Saccharomyces cerevisiae S288C: one gene and its partner. The main gene of each other region encodes a partner of the protein of the gene in region 2 in a complex. Each region holds a gene or a part of one and is shown on either strand. Other genes may lie near its edges. The genes, in order: PRE4 and PRE7. A codon is read from its position in the direction of its gene.

Region 1 (8,642 bases), on a different chromosome or scaffold from region 2:
ATCTTTAGGTTTATGAAAGTCGGTATTTCAGGAGGCTTAACGTTCACTGTTTATGAACAGGTTAGTTTGTTACTAGGCTTCTCTTCCAGGTCTTGATAATTTTGTGGATCTTTTACTCTTTTCTGTACATAAATTGCCACTATTTAATTATTTTCTCTACGGTATCTTTTTTAGAACAAATAACTTTCAATTCTTGATTGAAGTTCTAAGGGAAGCAATTCGTGCGCGAGCTCAAACATATCATCAACGTTATTGATAATACCCATATCGATAAACGAATCTACCAATTCCTGTTTTTGTAACGTGCCGATTTTTTGTTTCAAGAAATCCATTATATTTAAAGATTCCTCCTGTATAGTAGACCACGTTTGTTTCGGCAATATTATCCTATTCTCATTCAAAAATTGCCTTGTAAGATGTTTTAGATCCATTATTTGCAGCGGTTTTATAGAAGAACGTCTCACCGCAGGGACATTTAAACGGATAGGATCGTTGCCTATATCATCCAAATTTTCGTCACTGGTGTTTTCAAACGAATAATCTTCGTTTTCTGCTTCTTCTGTCTCCTCTTTATCGTCGCTTGGTAAATCTTCAGATAGTGGTTCTTCCTGTTGCGTTATGGAAATTGGTACCGGATCACGTACTGGCGGTTCATCTACCTGATCCATTCCAATGCTTGGCGACGTGCGCAAAACTTCCATAGAGATACTGTTAGCTTTATCTGGAGAGTGCACTGTCAATTCATCCTCGTGTCCTGTCGTGGGAACATCTTGTATTATTATCGGGTCAATCTTCCTACTTTTCAAGCCTTTGTCTCTTTCCTGCAATTTTGCAAATACTGTTTGCGATAAGGAAGTATAATCAGGTTGCGTTTCATTGCCAATGTTGTTATCTGTCAGTTTCTCACTTCTGCTCCGAAGAAGCTCATTCTCCTCTGGTTGGCTCTCTTCGTACGCTAATTCATCTATTAGATTCCGTGCTTGAGTTTTATTAGTAGTTGTATCGTTGCCTTGTGATTTGCGTGCTAACACTTGGCTTAAGTCTTGTAAAAAACTTCGTACTTCGTTCGGATCTTTATTGAGGATGTCATGAGACTTAGTAGAAGCAGATAAAAGTTTTCTATAACCTGGCGTATTTCTGATCAGTACCTCATCCTTGAGACGTTGTTCTTCAAGGGCTCTCTCCCGAAAGGGGGTTCTGATCTCTGAGACTTCTGTATTCTCGTTGTTACCGGCGGCCTTCCTGGGAGTGCTCATTATTCATTTCTTATTTCGTTACTAATCGTCGTGTGTGTCATTAATCGGTAACGCGTAGCTTCTTAATCTTATTTAGAATATGTAAATAAAAAAAAGTAAAAATCGAAGCCTAAGCATTTTCAATGAGCCAGTTTCAATGAGAAATCAATCACTGGTGTGCCTTGATGAATGCTACTAGTGCTGTAAATGTCAATGTCATCGCACAAATACTCCTCGAGGTTGTCCAAATTCAAGCCTCCACTACATTCCAAGAGGAAATGCTTTTTACCATTCCATTTGTTCTTAAGACTTTGGGCGCACATTTTCAAACCGTCACCTTTGAAATTATCCAACATGATAACGTCTGCACCAGCTTCAATGGCCTCTGTGGCTTCATCTTCACTCAAACACTCCACTTCGATCTTCACAGCAAACCCGCACACGGCCCTGGCGTTCTTAACTGCGTTTGTTATAGAACCAGTAGCCCAAATATGATTATCTTTGAGCATGACCATAGAGGAAAGGTCGTATCTGTGCGTGTCGCAGCCACCTACAAGCATGGAATACTTTTCTAATCTACGTAAACCTGGTGTAGTCTTTCTTGTCCCCGCAATGGTCCCCTTGTAACCAGTCGAACGCGCCAAACTGATTATCTTATGTGAGGCGGTGGCAATTCCACTACTTCTACTAAGGATGTTCAAGGCGGTTCTTTCAGCTAATAGAATGTTTTTAGCGGGCCCAGTAATTTTAGCTACAACAATCTTACCAGAGTCATTCTTCGAAGGCTCCAAGAAGGAGCCTTCCTTAAACAACCACTCAACTTGCAATTCGCACTGATTAAAGACTTCTTGCGCAAAGGGGACACCACACAGCATACCATCCTGCTTACAGTACAAATTGGCCTCCTTTAGGTCGGAACCAACAACATATCCACCAAAATCAAAAGAAGGAACGTCCTCGCTCAGCCAATTGGTGACGTCTTGTCTCCATGCTCCATTAACGGGCAATAAGTGTTCATAAACAGGCATTTTTTTTTTTTGGTGTGTGTTCTTTCTGAGGATTGCGTTCTTTTTGTTGCGTTATTAAGTGGTGTCTTTAATTTTCGAATTTATGGCCCAAGATATACGAAAACTGCGGTAGGAGTCATGATAAATGGGGGCTCTTCAACCAACCGGCGTCACCAAAAGCAAAAATATCCTGGAGCGAAATATCACATTGTTTGTAACCAAGCTTGTACCTTTGACAAGTTAACTTACGTCTTGCCGGGGTTTGCTACTACGCATTCAAGTATATAAAACGTTGTGACACACAAGTTGATAGAAACCTCAGGATGTATAACTACAATTCTAGTTTCCATCTCATTAGTCCCAAATGACAATAAAAAAAATTACTGGCCATGGAAGATGACAAGCCGAATATTAGCTCCTTCGATCGAACTGTGCGTGGAGAAGAAGCTACTACTATTTAATAATTAGTATCCCGTGATTTTGAGCTGTCGCTGGCATTATGTACCTGACATTAGGTATTTAGGAAAGGTAGGGTAGATCAGTTTAGTACCTCAATGGGTGCGGAAGGTTAATCTTGAAAAATTTGCGATTAGTAGACAAGTTTATTCTCACAAGAACAAAATATTCAGTTCATTTCAGATATGATCGTGAAGGTGGAAATCTTTTTTTTAAAAATGAGAAGTGTGCCCAACAAAGAAGTAAAAGACAAGTTAGCTTTCTGTCATGCTTGAAAACTTTATGGAAGCCTGTGCATTGGCATTAGAGGCATCTCCGACAATCAGAAGAACACTTCTTGTTATTATAATTACCCATATATTTTTTTTTTTTTCAAATTGACTACTAGGAAAAAGTGACAATTTATAGTAAAACTGGCTAGAAAAACCTACAAGAAAAACAAAACCAGGTTAGGCATACATTAATACAAGATTATATCAATCGGAAGTTCGTATGCAAAATTGCATATGGAGCAAAGGAAAGGACTTCCATTTAAGACGACAGTATGAGTTATAAGGCTAACCAACCATCTCCTGGGGAGATGCCGAAAAGGTCACCTTCCATCCTGGTGACAGATGCAAGAACATCCAAGAATAGAATGAGTGCACCGTTCGCTGGACACGCTGCTGGTAGTAGGAAGAATATGGAAAACGCAGGAGTTACGAAGTCTCAAGGAGTTCGCTCTTCCGCTATTGGCCCTTCTCCGCTGCAGAGTTTTACTCATCCAAGAAGGCGATCGTCTGGCAGGTTTAGCGATATATCCATAGATAATATTCTTTCTGATAATTCAGATATTCCCTCTGCCAGAAGAGAGGAAAGGCTATCCAGCTCTTCAAGCGATAGGCCTCGCCAATATGAGCGGTTAAGTTCGCGTAGAAAGATGATCAATCCCCTGCCTCCAAGAACATCGAAGACGTCACAAAAGTTAGTGTTGATACCGGAAGACGACAACTTGAACCACTTTCAAACTCTACCAACGAACGCGCTGGATAGGCAAAGACCGAAAGTGGGCTCTATGAAGTCTAATTCCTTCGATCGGCTACCTCGATACTCAAAAGAAAAGTCCATGGCAAGAATCACCGCATATAATGTTGCTGATGGCTTCAATCTCAACCAATTGTATAAGTTTCTGCAGGAAACTCATGAGGTTTCACCAAGATTGTATGATGAGTGTCTATACGTTGCGTATACTTTGCCACTTCTACCAGGTAAAGGCGGTTTTAGAATCAAATCAAATTTATCTAAGAAAACAATGGGTGGAAAGACATTAATTGATAATTTAATTGATACAAGCGAACAGAGAGATCATCATTATGAATATTACTCAGGTGTGGAAACTGTGGAAGATGCAAATAATAATTACGAACTAGAAACCAGTGGAAATAACAATAACGCTAATCAAGACACCACAACAGTTCCCGATCATCTACCAAATCCAGTTGGTCAGCAAGACTCTTTTAATCCTATGGAACCACAATTTTTTGCGGAAGAAACTCCCTTAGAGATAGAGAAACGGGAAAGGACAGAAAGAATAAACATGCTGAAGAAGGAGGAAAACGACAGTGATGCAAGTTGTGGCAACGATAATAATAATAAAAATAATGATAAGAGTAAACTTTATGCTGTTGAGGGAAACGATCAGTATGTACAGTCCTCTCGTTCACCAGCTTCGCCATCATCAATATCTACGCCATCGCCACCATCTTCATCACAGAATGATTTTGATCGTGTATATAAAATGCATAGGGACAACGACCATGAAGGCAATGATAGACATGCAGAAATTTTCATTTTTCACTATGGCGTTATTGTTTTTTGGAACTTTACTGAAATTCAAGAGAAAAATATTCTTGGTGATATAACATTTGCAGATTATAAGAATTTAATGATCCGGCCGCTGGATGAACAAGATATTGAAACTGAACAATTCCATTTCGAATATGACAGAGATACCGAGAGACCGAGAATTTTCAATGATATTGTCACATTACGTTCAGGTGACCACATTATCGAGCTGACACTATCACATGCGATTGCGCAATCTTCGAAATTATCAAGGTTTGAATCCAGAATTTCGCCGATTTTAATATCAGTCACAAAACTACCTAAAAGACTAGCATTATATGGTACCCTTGGGTTAAAAAGGGAACAGCTTTTGAAAAAATCAGGGAAGCTCTTTAAATTGAGAGTGGATGTTAACCTTTCATCCACCATATTGGATACACCCGAGTTTTTTTGGTCGTTCGAACCAAGTTTGCATCCACTGTACGTGGCAATGAGGGAGTATTTAGAAATTGACCAAAGAGTACAAGTATTAAATGATCGTTGCAAAGTTTTCTTGGAATTCTTTGATATATGCGTTGACTCTGTTGCTGAAAGAAACATGGCTCGTGTTACATGGTGGTTTATTCTTGTCATTTTATTTGGAGTTATATTTTCATTAACAGAGATTTTCGTTCGTTATGTAATTATTCATCGTCATACTTCTACATAGATATTCATACACCCTTCTAGACGGCATTAAAAATAAATTAATGATATATTTAGTTATCAAGGTTTTTAGTCATATATTTCACCGTTATTACCATTCTTGGTCACGTGCAAGTAAAACCACTCGTTGATTGGCTCCCCTCAAGATTGCATTAAAAGTACAATAATATGACTAAGGGACTCGAATATGTAAATTCATCTTTCGCATCAACAAAGGAGAAAAAGACGATAGTGAAGACTAATATTTTAGCCAGATTGCAGTGTTTCAGTGATCTTAAAAGTCTTTTTCATTTCTAGCCGCATTGAATTCTTTAAAGCAAACCATTAAGGAGTACTTCCCCAGGTTTTTAACCGATAATAAGAGTAAGATAAAAGTACAAGAAGACAGGGAAATGATTGCTACACCTATAAGATTAGCAAAGAGTGCATATGAGCCGATGATAAAATTCGTCGGTACAAGGCATCCCTTAGTGAAGCATGCAACTGAGGTCGTTGTTCATCCTTGCGCTACCAACGGAATGTTACCTGGCAGCAAAGAGTGTATTCCAGTGAGTAAATTCATGGAAAATTATAAACCATTCCGTGTAGTGCCAATAAAGCATAGCGCTAATGCTGGTCTCAGCTCGTCAAAGACCTCTGTATTCGTTAACAGGCCATTGCAAAAAGATGAGCTTGCTTCCATTTTCGAGCTACCTGCTAGGTTTCGGTACAAACCTATTAACGAGCATGAATTGGAGAGCATAAATAGCGGTGGTGCATGGTGAAGGATAGATGCAGTAATATTATGATTTTTTTTTGTTATTTTATAGTTTCTTTACACATATCATTATATCTATGTAAAAACGTAGTTACTTAGGAAGAGAGAAGAGTGATGATATTATGAATTGAAAAATAAAAATAAAATGAGTATTTAATGAAGGTGGGATAAAACTCTTCTAAATTTTTTGAGTACCGTAGCCTTTAATATCCTTGGCGAAGTCCCATTTCATGTTTTCAACTTGCAAGTTTTTCTTGAAAGTTAAACCTGTGTTCTTATCAATTATGGCCAGTGAGAAGTTTCTAGAAGAACGGGCATCTCTATAATAAAGAACTCTCATTGCATTTACGATCGCCTCTTCAGCAACCTGTACAGTGGTCTTTGGAATATCAGATTCTCGATCTACAACTTTCCTTAACAGTGGGTTTGCCATGTGTGCCCCAAAACCTGTGGCCAAGGTGGGAGACGAATACGTAACACCTAGAAGATTTACGTATCTTAGGAATTGATCACCATTAGACTGTACACCAGCAACAATGATGGCATTCCAAAGTGGATTCATCTTTGATCTTCGCTGGTACATGACGGTAGCTAGATATTCAAAAATATAGCTGGGTTCGAGCGCTTCTTCAGCATCCGCTAGAGGATTGTCATACGCATTTTCAGTGACTAGATCTTTCAATAATCTCTCAATGTGTTGCATATCAGAAATATCACCTGAAATGCCCACAACGGTGTTATCACCCACGGGAATAAGCCTCTCCACGCCATTGAATCTTAGAAGAGAGCCATATGAACCTAAATTATCTGCTGCAATGATAACCCCATTATCATATTTCATTGATATGACGGAAGTACCTGTTACTATTGGTTGCTGTGTATTAACCATGGGAGAGGCGCCTGCGTTCGCAATTTGTGTATTGTAAGCACCATAAGTAGAGTCTGCGGGCCTGCCCCAACTGAAAGGATCGTGATTCATTCGTGTGGGTTTTTATGTTGTTTTCGGCGGAAGATGAAGGATTCCTGCTGCTTATCCCCTTTCTTAACTTAGCTGTACTTTACTATGTGGGTACGTATTTAAGGTGGCAAATTCTAAACCAAGAAGCTGGAACATCTTTAATAAAAAGGATTGACGGGTAACCCTAAAAGGAAAAATAATAAAGAATAAGAGTAAGTTAAACTATATATATAGAAGGACGAAAGAAAAGATACCTCGATTTTTATTTATTTAGTTTGTGTATATAACTTAAGTATTTTATATGTGAATGTAACGTACTATTGGACAAGATATTCATCTGATTTCAAAGAGGTGATGACGTCGTAAGGGAGCTCTTGATCGTGGTCATTGGCCATGACAACAGATTGTATGGCCATACCGGTGAAACTCTTAGCTAATTTATCCCTCGTGGACTCTTGGAAGGAAACGGTCATTGGGTACAATGCATCTTCATATGGAGCTTCGATAGTGAATGCTAGCGCACCTGCATCGTTGGCAGCAATTTTGCTAATCTTAATGGAGGTTCCCATTTCTTGGTCCATGTTGACAACTTCAGCGTCAGAGCATGTAGAAGACTCTGTATTTATGTCTACTGGCTCCTGAGGGAAAACTGGAATGGTGAAGATCACATCAGCGAGTTCTGTTTCCAGGACGCTCTCATACTCAATAATGACATCAAAGCCCTGTTGTGATTCGGAGGGGGAAACCCATGTAGTTAGAGTTAATGGAATTAATGAGTCATCTTCTGCGGGAGCGACTTTACGCCATCTTAGAACACCCAGGCTTTGGTCGTTGGCTGGGAAAGCCTTAGATTTATCACGCAGGGAGATAAGTTTAGTGGATAGGAACGATTGTTTATCTATGTTTGGATGGGTCTTAAACTGGAAGGATTTATCGCGAACGTCAATAGAATCAGCTAGTTTTAGGTTCGAGTGAGATAAGTCATGGTCATTAATTCTTAGTTCTAAAACACCTTTCAATTCAGAAGAGTGAATGGTACCATCTCTGGAGAATTCTGCATTGATTACCTCCTTGATAGAGATCAAAATACCATTGTTCTCTGGGACATCCTCCTCCGGAGGAGGTGGAGTGCCAGAAGAGGCTGAAGAAATTGCACTTGGCCGTGGTGCGGCACCCGCTCTTCTTCCGGCACCACCACCCAATTTCATACCGCCAGTAGCAGAATGTCCCGCACGCTGAGACGTAGCCATTGGGGAGGCCACTGGGGCCACCTCAGCAGCAGCGGCATGGGAACTTTGTAGATAAGACTGTTGTGCTGCAGGAGAAGCATGGGAGTAGTAACTGTTGATGGCGTTTGTAACGTTAGGATCTTTACTTCCCATGAACCTATTGGCGCCGTCGTAATCGCCATTTGAAGACATAAACCCGTGTTTCCTTTCATGTTCTTTTCTAGCAATTTCCTTAGCACGGCGCTTCCTCTCCTCAGTAGCTTCGATCTCTTTATTACGCTCAATAATTTCCTGGATTCTTTCTTCGTGCGACTCCATAGACAAGTATGTTTGCACTTGAGTAAAGGACAAGTTCTCTTTGTACCCGCCCATTGACACGATTTCGTCGAACGAGGACAAGATCTCAAAGGCATTGTGAAAAATCTCTTGGTCTTGGAAACTAGACAAGTAGGAGTTGATCGTCTGTGAAAA
Region 2 (17,318 bases):
CCTGACACCGCTGGTGTGAAAGAAACATTTTTAATTGAGACCTTATGGAAGATGCTGCAATCTCCTACCATTTGCCAACAATTCAAGAAATCTAATATATCAGAGATTATCCAAACAATGAGCTATTTCATTATGGGGACTGATAATACTTCGTGGAACTTCACCAGTGCCGTGGTATTAGCTCGTTGTTTGAGAGTCCTCCAAACTACTCCAGATTATACTGAGCAAGAAACCGAACGATTATTCGATTGTTTGCCTAAGAATGTCTTTAAAATGATCATGTTCATCGCCTCAAACGAATAGAGAATAGCGTGGTAGACGCGTAATTTTTTTTTACCGTGACGCGTCTCACCAGAGTTTCTTAGTTCTTTCTCTTTTCTAAAACTGTAATAATATGAGCTCTTTGTAGACACATATAACATTTTGTTTCATATACATAATATATTTGCATATAAAAATATCAAGATAATTGATTGTCAATTGGTTCAACAAAGCTTGAAGGTAAATTTAGGCAGGAGCAAGTGACTGAAAAAAAAAAAAATGAGCGGATCTATCGATGTCATCACTCATTTTGGGCCTGATGCAGACAAGCCGGAAATCATCACTGCATTAGAGAATTTAACTAAACTGCATGCATTGTCCGTCGAGGATCTATACATTAAATGGGAGCAGTTCTCCAATCAAAGGCGTCAAACTCACACAGATCTGACTTCCAAGAACATAGATGAGTTTAAACAATTTTTACAATTACAAATGGAAAAGCGTGCTAACCAAATTTCATCGTCCTCTAAGGTAAACACATCCACAAAAAAACCAGTGATTAAAAAAAGTTTGAATTCAAGTCCCTTGTTTGGCCTTAGTATTCCAAAGACTCCGACTTTAAAAAAAAGAAAGTTACATGGTCCCTTTTCACTCAGTGATTCCAAGCAAACATATAATGTAGGCTCTGAGGCAGAAACAAATGAAAAAGGAAATAGTTCTTTAAAATTGGAGTTTACTCCAGGCATGGCAGAAGATGCTGTGGGTGACAGTGCTCCATTGTCCCACGCTAAAAGCTCGGATGCCAAGACTCCCGGCTCGTCGACATTCCAAACTCCAACAACAAACACTCCTACCACATCGAGGCAAAATGTTCCTGCTGGTGAAATTTTGGATTCTTTGAACCCTGAAAATATTGAAATATCATCTGGTAATCCAAATGTAGGCCTTCTTTCGACTGAAGAACCATCATATAACCAGGTCAAAGTAGAACCATTTTATGATGCTAAAAAGTATAAATTCAGAACAATGAGGCAAAACTTACAGGAAGCGTCTGATGTCCTCGATGATCAAATTGAATCGTTTACTAAGATTATTCAAAATCACTATAAGTTATCTCCAAACGACTTCGCTGATCCAACTATTCAATCTCAGTCCGAAATTTATGCTGTTGGAAGGATAGTTCCAGATTCGCCGACCTACGACAAGTTTTTGAATCCAGAATCGCTTTCCCTAGAGACCTCAAGAATGGGCGGCGTTGGAAGAAGGGTAAGGTTAGATCTATCGCAGGTCAACGAGCTTTCGTTTTTCTTAGGCCAAATTGTGGCATTCAAAGGTAAAAATGCTAATGGGGATTACTTCACCGTTAACTCTATTTTGCCGCTACCTTATCCAAACTCCCCAGTGTCCACATCGCAGGAACTGCAGGAGTTTCAAGCAAATTTGGAAGGTTCTTCTTTGAAGGTTATCGTGACCTGTGGCCCATACTTTGCAAATGATAACTTCTCCCTCGAATTGTTGCAAGAATTTATCGATAGTATAAATAATGAGGTAAAACCTCACGTCTTGATAATGTTTGGCCCATTTATAGATATCACCCATCCTCTGATAGCGAGTGGTAAATTGCCAAATTTTCCCCAGTTCAAGACACAGCCCAAAACATTGGACGAGCTTTTTTTGAAGTTATTTACTCCTATTCTAAAAACCATATCACCACATATCCAAACCGTATTGATACCCTCCACAAAAGATGCAATTTCTAATCACGCCGCATATCCACAAGCTTCTTTAATTAGAAAGGCTTTACAGCTGCCTAAAAGGAACTTCAAATGCATGGCTAATCCTTCATCTTTTCAAATAAATGAGATATACTTCGGTTGCTCAAACGTTGATACATTCAAAGATCTAAAGGAAGTCATAAAAGGCGGTACTACCTCATCAAGATATAGATTAGATCGTGTTTCTGAGCATATTTTACAACAGCGCAGGTATTACCCCATATTTCCAGGTAGTATTCGTACAAGAATAAAACCAAAAGACGTATCTACGAAGAAGGAAACCAATGATATGGAAAGCAAAGAAGAAAAAGTTTATGAACATATATCTGGTGCAGATTTAGACGTGAGTTATCTGGGACTAACAGAGTTTGTTGGTGGGTTCTCGCCTGACATAATGATTATACCCAGTGAATTACAACACTTTGCAAGAGTTGTCCAAAACGTAGTTGTTATAAATCCCGGAAGATTTATTAGAGCAACAGGTAACAGGGGATCCTATGCACAAATTACTGTCCAATGCCCTGATCTTGAAGACGGGAAATTGACGCTTGTTGAAGGTGAAGAGCCAGTTTATCTACACAACGTGTGGAAGCGCGCTAGAGTTGACTTGATTGCTAGTTGATATATTTAATTCAAACTTAACTAATGGAATAGCTCAAGGTAGCACCAAAAAGTATTGTTATACACCTGAACTATCGACCTTGAAACTGGCTCTATAACTTACTTATTGATTAAAGACCATAACATGATCAGTATCCGGGTAATAAAGTAACGTGATCAGAGGCCAGAGAAAATGTTCATAAGTAGAGACTACTCTTAAATGCATAATAAAAAAAAAAACTGATAGGCATCACTCTTTCCTTTTTGACTAAGATTCCAGCATCACATTGCAATATGTCCACTGGTATTACTTATGATGAAGATAGAAAGACACAATTAATTGCCCAATACGAATCTGTAAGGGAAGTTGTGAATGCAGAGGCAAAAAATGTTCATGTTAATGAAAATGCCTCCAAAATTTTATTATTGGTTGTTTCGAAATTGAAACCAGCTAGCGATATACAAATTCTTTACGACCATGGTGTGAGGGAGTTCGGGGAAAACTATGTTCAAGAGTTGATCGAAAAGGCAAAATTACTACCAGACGATATCAAGTGGCACTTTATTGGCGGTTTGCAAACGAATAAATGTAAAGATTTGGCTAAAGTGCCAAATTTATACTCTGTTGAAACAATCGACTCCTTGAAGAAAGCCAAAAAATTAAACGAATCGAGGGCTAAATTTCAACCAGATTGCAACCCAATATTGTGTAATGTTCAAATTAATACCTCCCATGAGGATCAAAAATCGGGCTTGAATAATGAAGCAGAAATATTTGAAGTCATCGACTTCTTCTTATCCGAAGAATGCAAGTATATTAAGTTGAATGGGTTAATGACTATTGGTTCATGGAACGTCTCTCATGAAGATAGCAAAGAAAACAGAGACTTTGCTACGCTGGTTGAGTGGAAGAAGAAGATTGATGCTAAATTTGGTACATCATTGAAATTGTCTATGGGGATGAGTGCTGATTTCAGGGAGGCTATAAGGCAAGGAACAGCGGAAGTCAGAATTGGTACCGACATTTTTGGTGCTAGACCTCCAAAAAATGAAGCTAGAATCATTTAGTAGGTTGAATGAACTGAGATTTTATACGAAGATCTTTTTTTTTATAGCATTACAACACAAAATGAAAATAAATAGAATCTCAAATATATATATATATGTGTGTGTGTGTTTATATATGTACAATGCGGATGATTTTCATTATAGTGAATTTGAGAAAATTTTACTTCGTAAGCACATTCTTTATACATTCGACAATGTACTTCGCCAGGGGACCGGCCGTCGTTGTTTTACAGGTAACATTAACTGTTCCATTTACCTGGTATTGTATCTTCATTAAACAACCGAAGTTTCCCTCACTTTTCGTATGAATAATACCCGAGACAAACAATGTACTACGAACACTGGTCTGATCGACTATATCAAAGCCCAACCTCTTCACTGTTTGCGTCAATAGTAGAAGTCCGTCTTCTAAACTGATTGTTTCAACTTTTCTAAAATCCTTGTTGAGCTTTATGCCAGATTTTTGGTATTCTCCCTCTTTTCCCAAAGCATCGCTCAAAGTCTTCCAACGGCTGATGAACTGTGCCAAATTCAAATGCATGCTAGGATTGACATCGCTGCTAATTAGTGTTGTAGTCATGCCTATGGCAGTTTTCAAATTGATAGTGTTTGTACTACCGCCACATTTGAAATGAATTGCCAAAATTGGACTATCTTCAACGTCGAAAGGTTTTCTTATTGAAACTTCATAGCTTTGCTCTGCCCTTTTATGGGGCCCAATAGTAGCAGTAGAAGGTGTATTAATATTCATAATTAAATACTCAGGATTACCTTGCGTTTTTGAAGGGATAATCTGTGTGGATAATCCCGTGATTTCCCACTCAGTCAGGTTAATGAAGGCAAGAGATATATGAAACACGTATGGCTGTTGTGCATCAGGAGTGGTTATCCGATAGAAAACTTTCATCAAAGATGATGTGAAAAGCACACCCTGCTTATGCGAAATCATTCTTGTGAAACCTTCCCTCCAATTTGGAGCGAGGATCTGCCTTGAATAATAAGAGTCCTTTCCTGAAAAGTCTTCAGATGAACTAATTTTGGAATTTACATCATCAATGGTGTTCCTACGAGATGGTGGGGGCATGGGAACCATGATCGACCTGGAAGAGTTTGCTCTTTTTGATAGTAAGTCAGGCGTGGAGGAGGATGCTTCGGATGGTGTATTTATTAAAGTTGTGCTACCCGCTGATGCCGGCAGTGACCCTAATCTCTTCAATAATGGATTAGATTTGCTGTTAAAAGGCGGCATTGGTTCAAATAAAATTTGCAAAATATCTGTATTTCCGTTCACCTTAGCCAGTTGAATAATGTTGAGATATTCGAAGGATCTTGTTTGCAACTCAATATCAAGAGAGTTCAATTCCAATTGGAAAAATTTGATGACGTTGGAGCCGATCTCAGGTGAGGTCTTGTACAACTTGATCATCGTAGTCAATATCATCGCCTTAGCCACATTTGGTGCACTAAAATATTTCTCGGCAAACAAAGTAAATAAATTTGCGCTTGAAATCCTGTCTGTTATGAGACTTGAGTACTCCCCTAGTAGAAAAGCCGCAGCTTTAATAATAGCTTCAGATGCTTGCTTTTTACATAAATAGTCCACCAACCGTTCACATGTTATTCTATGTAAAGATGGATTGTTCACTACAATTTGACATAGTCGTTGCCAGATCTCATCATCGTTAATAGTTGTATTTGAAGTTAATGATAGCAACTGCAACGAAATAATTACAAACCAATTGATATCCGTGGCATATTTCTCGGTCAAAATAGCTATTTTAACTGCAATATCAGATTTTATTTGCGGTTCAGCAAGATTTTTCGGAGATAAAATATACTGCAGTAAACCGTCCACAATAATCTTAACGTTTTCAACATCAGTAAAGGTATATAACAAGTCAACAACCTTCCTAACAATAGATGAATCTCTTTCTGTGTTCAAAAGATGAAAAATCATATCCAAATTCTTGTAACGAACGGCATCAATTGCAGGTTTCCCGCTTGATGAGCATAATTTGACCAATGAATCTAGCGTTAAATACCGAATATTAATTTCCTTAGATGTTAGCAGGGAACATAAGGCTGTCACAGAATTGCTGATAGCTTCATCCGACGGATCTAGCTTAGAGGCGAAATTGATCAATGAAAACAATACTGTGTTTTGGACGATACGTTCCATGGGATCTTGAGCTTGTCTGGTTCCTAATTCGATGGCAACGGAAACACACTTTCGAAGTTTATTTAGTAATTCATTATCTATGTTGTTGGTTTGTAGTAATGAGCCAGAATCCCTCTCAGTTGGTGAGGCAATCAATATGCTCAACAAAGAGACAACTTTTGTGATAAGCCAAGGATTTGGCATATTCGCGAACGTATATTCTAACGGAAACTGATTGTCACTAGATCTTGAAGTACCAACAACAACACAATTGTACAAAATTTCTGTTAGCTGTGGTAATAGTCTCGTACAGTAACTGGGATCAATGTATTTTGCAATGAATTCTATTAACGGAATCGTAGCTAAAGTTAACCTATAGTTTTCCGTATCATCCAATAAGCTTAATATCCTTTGTATCCATAGTTGCTTACGTTGTAAATCTTCGGTCAGTATAGAATGATTACTTTTCAATAGTGCTAGAAATGACAATGCTGATTTTTTCTTGAGATAAATGGAGGAGGTCGGTGATCTTAATATCTTGAATACTCCTGTTGTGATATCATCGTTGTACGCTAGACGGTTCGTAAGTTCTCCTACTACACCAACAAAATTCAGCGCCAACATTACGAAATTATCATCGGAAGAAGAGAGATCTTTCATCAGTTGATAATTCACCTCATCGTTAACTTTGGCAACAACTTCACTACGTTCATAAAGCAACTCAAGGGTCATATATCCAATGAATTTTTCAGAAAATATGCTGGACTTCAACAGCTCTACCGTTTGCTCCAACCCGAATAAAATTTCATTTAGTTTTGTCGTATTAGAAGTAATATATATATAGGCTAGCTTGGCAACGTACTTCTTTCTTTGATAGCCACCTAATCTGTCGTGATTGCCTTGTTTTTTCTTTGCAGCATCGAAATGCTGTTTAATTTTGACAATTTCAGATTGTATTCTCTTTTCCTGCTCTTGTGCTTGTTGTGCAGAACGAAGATCTGCAATGAATAACTGTAGGCCCTTGATGGTACTGTTATTATTAGAAACACTTGAGTTTATAAGTGTTTTTTTGCGATCCATGGCTTATAAGATTAGTACTATAATAAAGGTTGCGAAATTGGAAACTCGATTGACTAGCAAATTCCAACTGTAACGTTCCTAGTGCTTCTTTGACCCTCAAATATTTCTCAGTGTTTATACCTCAGCTGGATCAAACAAGTGTTTTTTCACGTCGTCATGTGTTTCTTCAGCGCTCACTCCGGGGAAAAACTCCTATTCTTCCGCAGAGAGTATACAGTGCATACTAGAATTAATAAACTCATAGCCATGGCTAGATTACTTGATTGTGAATATCGATATTTTTCAATAGTTATATACATGTATACATGGTGTGTTCAATCCGTTCAACGTCCTCTGAAGAGTTTGTACTGTGGTTCTTGAGACTTTAAAATATTCAAATACTTCTTTGATGGCTTCTTTGCATTTTCATCGTAAAAATTCTTCACTGGGTCGTCTTTAGGATTTTTGAAACTATGTAATCCAACTCTAACCAGAGAATCCAAGGATACAAATTCATATACCCCAGGTAACTTGGTGCCTGCTTTTCTGAAGGCTTCCCGTGCGACTTTTTCATGCAAATCATCACCATTTATTTCGAAAAGGATCTTCCCTGTGGGTACCCTCACCATCCAGTGGTCAAACCCACCTTTACCTTTACCCATTCTTGTTTCGTTACCCTTGATACATACAGCAACGTTTGTACACAAACGCCTCCACAAATGACCATTGTTTAAAGGCCTGACATATCTCATAATTGCGTTATCTGCTTCCTTCAGCTGTTGCGCGGATATCCTAATACCTTCGCTTTTCAGTCGTAATCCGTACTTACCAAATTGCAAAGTGGATCCCTTTATTGAACCACCTGTACGAACTGGCACTCTACCTTTTTGCTTTTTCTGTACGATTTTGAAACGTGGGGCATATTCATGCTTGAATCTCCTAGCAATAGTGGTGTTATTTAAAAAAGCATTGGGGGAACTTTCTTTTAAAGTTAGCCCTCCCATCTTTATGGATAAATTCATTCTTGTTAAATAGGGGAACATGTTGCAAAATTCTATTCCTCTGTACCTCTGGTGAAAGGTAATCAACTTCCCGGCAATATGTACGCTCTACAAGTGGACTGTTAATTGGTAATAATTTCTTCCAAAGAAGTCTTCTTGTTATTTGAGCACCAATATGATATTATTATTTCCACCAGCATTCTTTCGTAATTAGTGATTCAACTGGATACAAAGCCTAGGGTTCTGTTCTTTGACCCTAAGTTTTAGAGTTAGGTTTCTCGTTATTGGTGATAACAAATTTTTTTTTTTTTTTTTTTTTTTTTTTTTTTCAAAATTTTTCACAGCTCATCTCATCGAGAGGAAAAGCATAGAATAAAATTTAGTTAAATGTTAAGTATTTTACAGTATTTGCCATTTTTCTGCCATTCTAAGGTCGAAAAAGTTTCAGGCAGTTTCTCAGTGAATTGGTCAATAGAACAAAAGAAACTTATAGACAGAAAATGAAGTACGTTGTTGTTTCAGGTGGTGTCATTTCGGGTATCGGTAAAGGTGTTCTTGCATCTTCAACTGGTATGCTAATGAAAACCCTCGGTTTAAAGGTTACGTCAATTAAAATTGACCCTTATATGAACATTGATGCAGGTACTATGTCTCCTTTGGAACATGGTGAATGTTTCGTGCTTGACGACGGTGGTGAAACAGATTTGGACTTGGGTAACTACGAGAGATACCTTGGAGTTACTTTGACTAAAGATCATAACATTACTACTGGTAAAATATACTCGCACGTTATTGCTAAGGAAAGAAAAGGTGACTATTTAGGCAAAACCGTGCAAATTGTCCCTCATTTGACCAACGCTATCCAAGATTGGATTGAGCGCGTGGCCAAAATTCCTGTAGATGACACCGGTATGGAACCAGATGTTTGTATCATTGAATTGGGTGGGACAGTTGGTGACATTGAAAGTGCTCCTTTTGTGGAGGCACTAAGACAATTCCAATTTAAAGTTGGAAAGGAAAATTTTGCCTTGATACACGTTTCTCTAGTTCCTGTCATCCACGGTGAACAAAAAACTAAGCCAACTCAAGCTGCCATCAAAGGTTTGAGGTCTCTTGGTTTAGTTCCAGATATGATCGCCTGTAGATGTAGTGAAACTTTGGATAAACCAACAATCGATAAGATTGCCATGTTTTGTCATGTGGGGCCTGAACAGGTGGTTAACGTTCACGATGTTAATTCTACTTATCACGTCCCATTGTTGCTACTGGAACAAAAGATGATTGATTACTTACACGCCAGATTAAAGTTAGATGAAATATCACTTACAGAAGAAGAAAAACAAAGAGGCCTGGAATTATTGTCTAAATGGAAGGCCACAACAGGTAACTTCGATGAATCCATGGAAACAGTGAAGATTGCTTTGGTTGGGAAATACACCAACTTGAAAGATTCTTATCTATCAGTGATAAAAGCATTGGAACATTCATCCATGAAGTGTCGTCGTAAGTTAGACATTAAATGGGTGGAAGCTACTGATTTGGAACCTGAAGCACAAGAAAGCAACAAAACTAAATTTCATGAAGCATGGAACATGGTCAGTACCGCAGACGGTATCTTAATCCCCGGTGGTTTTGGTGTTAGAGGTACTGAAGGTATGGTTTTGGCTGCTAGATGGGCTCGTGAAAATCACATTCCATTCTTAGGGGTTTGCCTGGGTTTACAAATTGCCACCATTGAATTTACACGTAGTGTGTTGGGAAGAAAAGACAGTCATTCGGCAGAATTTTATCCAGACATTGATGAAAAAAATCACGTTGTCGTTTTCATGCCTGAAATTGACAAGGAAACCATGGGGGGCTCAATGAGATTAGGTTTGAGACCAACATTTTTCCAAAATGAAACTGAATGGAGTCAAATCAAGAAGTTATACGGTGACGTCTCCGAAGTCCATGAAAGACACCGTCACCGTTACGAAATCAATCCAAAGATGGTTGATGAATTGGAAAACAACGGGTTGATCTTTGTAGGTAAGGACGACACTGGAAAGCGTTGTGAGATTTTGGAATTAAAGAATCACCCATACTATATTGCTACTCAATATCACCCAGAATACACATCAAAGGTCTTAGATCCATCCAAACCATTTTTGGGTTTAGTTGCTGCTTCCGCTGGTATCCTTCAAGATGTCATTGAAGGTAAGTACGATCTTGAGGCCGGCGAAAACAAATTCAACTTTTAAATCAAAATTTTAGAATTAAAAGTCTACTGCATTAACAAAGATAAATTTCTAATTTTTTTATGTATATTATATTTTTTGGAAGAGAAAATATTTGTAGTGCTTCTCTACACTGTTTTTTTTTTTTCGTTCATGTTGTCTTTCCTCTCCTGAATATATTTAATTTAATAAATCTATCTTATCTGACATATAGAAGCTGTTTCGATAGAGTTTTCGACTGGCCAACAGTTGTTACTGACTGGATAAAAATTTACGATTTTTCCTCCAATCTTGGCTTTCAAAATGAGAAATAAGAGTCTTGAAATTCAAAGAATGTATCTATGTATGAATATAGAATATGCTCAAATATTTAGTTTTGTATAAGGAAGTTCTAAATAATTTTCCATGGCGTGCTTTTACCAAAGTACTGAACAGGGAGATTATTTATCATTTTTTTTCTTACTCTTCGAGTTGAAGTCGATTGTAGGTGATGACATGAACATTAAATAAAATGTACTTGAACAAATCAGACCAGCAAACACCCACATCGCAATGGTACTGGGTTTTCTCGTTATTCTGTGGAAGAATTCAATTACCGGATTATTGTTAAAAAAGCCCATTAGAAGTATCCTAACGATTGATTAAAGTAAATTGTTATTCACGCTACTATCGCAATCGTCCAACTGAACCTTATTCTTTATTGTATATAATCTCTGCCGAGAAATTCTTATACTTATGTATCTGGGAATTCACCAGGTTAGAATACCTTCCCCTCCTCAATTTCTAATTTTTTTTTCTACCCTTATTTTTCTCTCTTGCTTCATCGCTCTCAAAGCTAAAAGCTAATACAGCAAACAAAAGTGTTATTAGGAATTCAATTGAGTCGTGAAAGAAAAATAATATTCGTCTTACTTGAGGACTCACTTTGGTCAATTGAGATTAAAGTGTAGTCTGCACCACTGAATTCCTCGTTTTCCTTTAAAGATCCGGGATGGCTTATCTGCGGTACCCGGACTGAAAACGACGTTTTAGCTAAATATTGAACACGTTAAAAATAAGTTCAAATTTCGAGGCAGATGAATTTGCTGAGGGCACTTGTTCAAGAGTGAGATATACGCGCAAGTTGAGGCATAATCAGTAAGCAATGAATCCGTTTAGAATCTTAGGTATGTTACTATTTGGAGTTTCATGAGGCTTTTCCCGCCGTAGATCGAACCCAATCTTACTAACAGAGAAAGGGCTTTTTCCCGACCATCAAGACAGGTGATTTATCACATCTAACCAGTATACTGATCCTGATTCATAATATCAAGACCACAAGGTACATTGAAGGTATTTCTTTCAAGACCCAAACGTTGTACGCTTTGGTTTTCATAACACGATACTTGGATCTCTTGACTTTTCACTGGGTATCCCTATACAATGCTCTAATGAAAATATTTTTCATTGTATCTACCGCTTACATTGTAGTGCTATTACAAGGGTCTAAAAGAACCAACACCATTGCGTATAATGAAATGCTTATGCATGATACCTTTAAGATCCAGCATTTACTAATTGGGAGTGCTCTAATGAGTGTTTTTTTCCATCACAAGTTCACTTTTCTTGAATTAGCATGGAGTTTTTCTGTATGGTTGGAGAGTGTGGCTATTCTACCTCAATTGTACATGCTATCTAAGGGTGGGAAGACTAGAAGTCTAACTGTTCATTATATTTTTGCCATGGGATTATACAGAGCATTGTATATTCCTAACTGGATTTGGAGGTACAGCACGGAAGATAAAAAATTGGACAAGATTGCCTTCTTCGCGGGACTTTTGCAAACTCTGTTGTACTCTGATTTCTTTTACATTTACTACACTAAAGTCATCAGAGGAAAGGGTTTCAAACTGCCAAAATAAAAAAAAAACCTGTTTTAAATAGTGTTCGCAGCAATATATACAAATTTCAATATATCAATGCTATACCAAAAGAAAAAAAAAATACATAAAATTGATGTTGATATTGGTCTATTTCTTTTTATACTATGATATGTATGCATTAATCTCTTTTTAGCTCATAAAATTCTTTCCTTACACCATCCTTGGTGACAATAAGGATTTCCAGCCCATCACCCACTTGTATATGTCTTTCTGTAGCAGAAGTGAACGAGTCTCTCACCAGTTTGATGACTTCTTCCACGGACAAGTATTTCAAAGGCTTTTTGACTTTACCGTTTGTACCTGGCTCATATTGATTTTTGAAATTAACCTGATTGTCCAAAAATGGCATGATCAATGATGCCGCAGCACCACCTGCTCTACACTGTTCTCTTTCGTAGGAGCCAACTGGGTCGAACGAATAGACAGCGCCCTTACCATCTTCGTCAAGACCCGCAATGATCGTATGAACGTAGTAAGGGAAAAACCTCTTCCCGTACAGAAGATGTTGAATGTTCCTTGCTGCAGAGTTTATAGATAGTTTTTTGTCGTTGTGGTCGAAATGGTACCATTTTACACTATTTTTGAATCTTTTTACTAAAGCGTCGCCGTCTGCTGCAAATCCATTCGCCGACATGACTATGTTATCACCACAATCAAAAACCTTGGGTTCATAACGAGAATTAATTGAGTAATCGGTGATATTTCTTGTATCGCCTGCTAACACTGCGAAATCTTCACCTGCAATGCCCAGGATTGTACCACCATTATCACCGTAAGGATTGAATTGATGTTCAATGGGTGTATTTGACGCCTCCGAAGAGTATTCTGATGCAATAGTGGCCATATTTTGTTTAACTTTATAGTTCAATAGTCTTGGCTACTCTCTTTCCAACTCAGTTCACCTTGTATTATACCGCTTGTTTTTGCCACCCTTTGAGTTTCCTCGATCCTTTAAGTTGGAAAAGATAAAAACAATTATCGCTCCGTACGAACACCAAATCTCTGCGACGCAGAGACGGCAATACAAAATCAGAAAAAAAAAACAATTTATTGCCTATGCTTCACTAGTCACAGGCTCTACGAAACATTGCTATCGCCTCACTGCCTTTACATCACTTAAGCAAGAAGTTTTAAATATTACGGCAATTCCTTTGCAGCAATACCTTTACTTTATTTCGAGAGAAAATAGATCGTAAAATGCCTACTCCAAGCTTTTAAATCAAGACTCAACCAAGCCCCCACACTTATCTTTAGAGACTAATGCCCTAACTCTTTCGACTGAACGGCTTAGAAGTCTCATGTCCTAGCTAGTTTGTCCTTGCGATGGGACACAAACGGCGCTGCCTCTCCTGCGGGCGATCAGAAAGAAGAAAAAGAAATGTGATTGAGCCATGCCACAAAGCGGTATGTGCCATTAATTTCTTTTTTTCTCCCCTTTCGCCTTTGAGTTTCTCCGCGGCGTTCACTGTGGTTGATGCTCGGGATTTGCCGGTTTCGTCCTTATCGCGCCATCTTTGCCATTAAAGGATGCTGCAATAAAACTTGGCGGTTCTCGCTACTGAAACTATTGTGTCAGCCTGGACAACACAGGGACATGTCGTATTTTTGAAAATTTTTGATCAATTCTCCAACGGAAAAGTTTTTCATTTCCTCTCTTGCTCAATTACTCGATGACATGCTATCCTATCTTTTATATAACAGTAGTATTGCTTCGACCTTCTTGTAAAATTTAAAACATAGTATTGGACAGCTTTGCTTTACTTTGCAGCACATTGCGGAAATAAAAGGCGGTAACTAGTCCTCTCATTCATTAATTCTATATAAGAGAAAATGCCGGTATCTGATTCTGGATTCGATAATTCTTCAAAAACAATGAAGGACGACACTATACCGACGGAGGATTACGAAGAAATCACGAAAGAGTCCGAGATGGGTGATGCGACTAAAATTACTTCTAAGATTGATGCTAATGTCATTGAAAAAAAAGATACCGATTCAGAAAACAATATAACCATTGCTCAGGATGACGAAAAGGTGTCTTGGCTGCAAAGAGTTGTCGAGTTTTTTGAGGTTAAGAATGACTCTACCGATTTGGCCGATCATAAGCCCGAAAATCCAATTAGGACATTTAAAGATTTACAGGAGTCCCTCCGTTCGACGTACTTGTACAACACAGATCTGCGGCCCGTGGAGGCAAAAAGAAGAACGTGGACATGGAAGCAGTACATTTTCTTTTGGATTTCTGGGTCCTTTAACGTCAATACATGGCAAATCTCAGCCACTGGGCTACAGTTAGGGCTTAACTGGTGGCAGACTTGGATCTGTATTTGGGTTGGATACACGTTTGTCGCATTTTTCTTGATACTGGGTTCCAAAGTGGGGAACAATTACCATATCTCTTTCCCCATTTCCTCAAGAGTATCATTTGGTATCTACTTCTCCATCTGGATTGTCATCAACCGTGTCGTCATGGCATGTGTCTGGAATTCTACTTTGGCTTATATCGGTAGTCAATGTGTTCAGTTGATGCTAAAGGCTATCTTCGGTACTAATTTGAATACTAGAATCAAAGACACCATAAAGAACCCCAATTTGACGAACTTCGAGTTCATGTGCTTCATGGTCTTCTGGGTCGCATGTTTACCGTTCCTATGGTTTCCACCTGACAAATTGCGTCATATATTTGCACTCAAATCCGCCATCACTCCATTTGCGGCCTTCGGTTTTTTGATTTGGACTCTTTGTAAGGCCAAAGGTCATTTGGCATTGGGTTCCCTAAATGACAATGGTGGCGCAATCAGCAAGACGGTTTTAGCATGGTCTGTCATTAGAGCTATTATGAGTGCTCTGGATAACTTCTCTACTTTAATCCTAAACGCTCCTGACTTCACTAGATTCGGTAAGACCTACAAGTCATCTGTTTACTCGCAATTGATTGCGCTACCCGTCTGCTATGCCATTATTTCCTTAATCGGAATATTGTCTGTCTCCGCAGCTTATACATTGTACGGAGTAAATTATTGGAGTCCCCTAGACATTCTGAACAGGTACTTGGATAACTATACTTCGGGGAACAGAGCCGGTGTATTCTTAATATCTTTCATTTTTGCGTTTGACCAGCTGGGTGCCAACTTGTCTGGTAACTCGATCCCTGCAGGTACCGATCTGACTGCATTATTGCCTAAATTCATCAATATCAGACGCGGTTCTTATATTTGTGCTCTAATATCGTTGGCGATTTGCCCCTGGGATTTATTATCATCATCGTCAAAGTTTACTACGGCACTAGCGGCATATGCAGTTTTCTTAAGTGCTATTGCGGGTGTAATATCAGCCGATTACTTCATTGTCAGAAAGGGTTACGTTAATATTTTCCATTGCTACACCGACAAGCCAGGATCGTACTACATGTACAATAAATATGGTACGAACTGGAGGGCGGTGGTAGCTTATATATTTGGTATTGCTCCTAATTTTGCAGGCTTTTTAGGTTCAGTGGGAGTTTCTGTGCCTATTGGCGCTATGAAAGTTTACTACCTAAACTATTTCGTTGGTTATCTCCTTGCAGCATTGAGTTACTGCATTTTAGTGTATTTTTACCCAATTAAGGGTATTCCAGGCGATGCCAAGATAACTGACCGTAAATGGCTCGAAGAGTGGGTCGAAGTAGAAGAATTCGGAACTGAAAGAGAAGCTTTTGAAGAATATGGCGGCGTTTCCACTGGCTATGAAAAGATACGATATATCTAAACACAATTGTTAACAACGCAAGTAGCACCTTATCATGATAATGTCAAAGCCAAAAAAAAAAAAAAATAATTTACTTATAATCTGCATAGGCCTCATCATATTTGTTGCATACATATAGACATATGCTTCTGCATAATCTCAAATTGTAACCTTTATTTTGTAAAAATAACATTACGCATGCTTGATTAGTTAAAAAAAGTCTTGTTTACCATAGGTCTTCAGTCTCGCACTCCTAATTTAAGCGAGTACGAGCAGCCTGGCCTAACTCATTTCTGTTTTCAAAAAATCCTTCTCACTGCAACGAAATAGCATTTCGTAAAAAAAAAAAAGAAGGTTTGGTTCTCAAGAGAGCTCACGCAAAATTTTTTCTTACGTTCCCGTAGAACTGATACTTGGACAACGCCACTTATCTGAGCAGAACAGGTCTTACCTTAGTCTCTGTAGTCTTATTTTACGTTTGAATTCGTAGTTTTATTGCGCAAAGTACCATATTAAAACTTTACTTTTCGCCTATGCAATAATCTTGTACATATTGAGTTATCGTGGTAAAATAAAAAACCTGTGCCGAACGCCGTTTTGGAGCATGGTATAGAGTTGAAAATGACTAATAAAAGGAACCGTTAATTTACCCATATACTGGGCGAAAACAAAAGGTTCTTTTTTTTTTTTTTTTTTTTTTTTATTTTATTTTATTTTAAACTAAAAACTTTATTTTGAACGTTATGAAGTAAGAATATATATATTTTGCGTTTGGTATTTAGACAAGTGGTGATGCACTAGTTAGTAATAATGATACAACAACAATGAGAAAAAAAAAATAGGATGCAGATGTGAATATGATAATGCAAAACGAAGTTGTGTTATTTCCTTCATTTTAATTTATGCTGTGATAGGACAAGAATGAAATCTCGTTAATGGTACGGAACCATCGTCGACATCGCTACTACTCTCGTTTTCGCTGTCATCTTCTTGTCCATTTACCCGCCGAGAGAGCACACGGAAGATTGGCGCTGAACTATGCAAACTCACAGCATCGAGCGTTTCAGTGTCCTGTTCTTCCTCTGTCGTAGAGGCAGTGGCGGGAAGAGCATTGTAGCGCGGCGTTGATTCGGCAAGTTCATCCGTCTGCTCGGAATGAGAGTTTGTGTGAGTCAAATATTGATAATTAGGTGCGGTGTGAAAACTAAAGTACATGTCAATTTTCTTGTTATAATCACCGCCAGAGTAATCGTACTCAAAATCATAGTCTTCATAATCATCATCGTCTTCACTGTCAGTAGAAGATAGAGTGTCAGCATCTGGATCTTCGTCACTAGAGTAAAAATCACAGTAATCTTCACTTTCTATCGTCTTTTCTGCATTTTCCTCCTTACCGACGTCATTTTTACTAGCATTAGCATTGGACAATTCGATATGTTCGATGGACAAGTTTTCAGGTCCTTTACTGAAAGGGTCTCCGGCAAGGGCGTTGGTTGCAGCATTATGAGTTTCCACATTTTCTGTAATCT

Evidence for each region.
Region 1: the proteins of PRE7 (region 2) and PRE4 are in contact, whole or in part, in a crystal structure (PDB 4V7O), measured with the Saccharomyces cerevisiae proteins. Residues at the interface, in NP_009512.1 of Saccharomyces cerevisiae: Gln20 (codon at 12,847), Phe21 (codon at 12,844), Asn22 (codon at 12,841), Pro23 (codon at 12,838), Tyr24 (codon at 12,835), Asn27 (codon at 12,826), Asn48 (codon at 12,763), Ser53 (codon at 12,748), Ile54 (codon at 12,745), Asn55 (codon at 12,742), Ser56 (codon at 12,739), Arg57 (codon at 12,736), Tyr58 (codon at 12,733), Glu59 (codon at 12,730), Phe76 (codon at 12,679), Ala78 (codon at 12,673), Asp79 (codon at 12,670), Asp81 (codon at 12,664), Ala82 (codon at 12,661), Lys85 (codon at 12,652), Lys119 (codon at 12,550), Phe122 (codon at 12,541), Tyr124 (codon at 12,535), Glu237 (codon at 12,196), Arg240 (codon at 12,187); in NP_116708.1 of Saccharomyces cerevisiae: Thr34 (codon at 6,864), Glu127 (codon at 6,585), Thr131 (codon at 6,573), Tyr134 (codon at 6,564), Arg137 (codon at 6,555), Ser138 (codon at 6,552), Met140 (codon at 6,546), Pro142 (codon at 6,540), Trp144 (codon at 6,534), Arg161 (codon at 6,483), Leu165 (codon at 6,471), Leu166 (codon at 6,468), Gly167 (codon at 6,465), Val168 (codon at 6,462), Thr169 (codon at 6,459), Tyr170 (codon at 6,456), Ser171 (codon at 6,453), Ser172 (codon at 6,450), Thr174 (codon at 6,444), Leu175 (codon at 6,441), Ala181 (codon at 6,423), His182 (codon at 6,420), Arg189 (codon at 6,399), Asp193 (codon at 6,387), Arg194 (codon at 6,384).

What each region holds. Positions count from the first base shown.
Region 1 is NC_001138.5:242,904-251,545, forward strand, and holds PRE4 (proteasome core particle subunit beta 7), read right to left. Parts: upstream 6,964-8,642; coding exon 6,163-6,963; downstream 1-6,162. Other genes in the region: MRX20 (Mrx20p), read left to right, coding at 1-96; centromere-binding protein CNN1, read right to left, coding at 171-1,256; BNA6 (nicotinate-nucleotide diphosphorylase (carboxylating)), read right to left, coding at 1,376-2,263; RMD8 (Rmd8p), read left to right, coding at 3,243-5,231; alpha-ketoglutarate dehydrogenase subunit KGD4, read left to right, coding at 5,620-5,991; RET2 (coatomer subunit delta), read right to left, coding at 7,260-8,642. UniProt on the Saccharomyces cerevisiae protein: Non-catalytic component of the proteasome which degrades poly-ubiquitinated proteins in the cytoplasm and in the nucleus. It is essential for the regulated turnover of proteins and for the removal of misfolded proteins.
Region 2 is NC_001134.8:136,833-154,150, reverse strand, and holds PRE7 (proteasome core particle subunit beta 6), read right to left. Parts: upstream 12,905-17,318; coding exon 12,179-12,904; downstream 1-12,178. Other genes in the region: STU1 (Stu1p), read left to right, coding at 1-303; DNA-directed DNA polymerase alpha subunit POL12, read left to right, coding at 541-2,658; YBL036C (pyridoxal phosphate homeostasis protein), read left to right, coding at 2,931-3,704; APL3 (Apl3p), read right to left, coding at 3,865-6,942; mitochondrial 54S ribosomal protein uL16m MRPL16, read right to left, coding at 7,266-7,964; CTP synthase URA7, read left to right, coding at 8,423-10,162; MIN6 (Min6p), read right to left, coding at 10,579-10,758; ERD2 (Erd2p), read left to right, coding at 11,283-11,304, 11,402-12,039; FUI1 (uridine permease), read left to right, coding at 13,891-15,810; ECM13 (Ecm13p), read right to left, coding at 16,690-17,318. UniProt on the Saccharomyces cerevisiae protein: Non-catalytic component of the proteasome which degrades poly-ubiquitinated proteins in the cytoplasm and in the nucleus. It is essential for the regulated turnover of proteins and for the removal of misfolded proteins.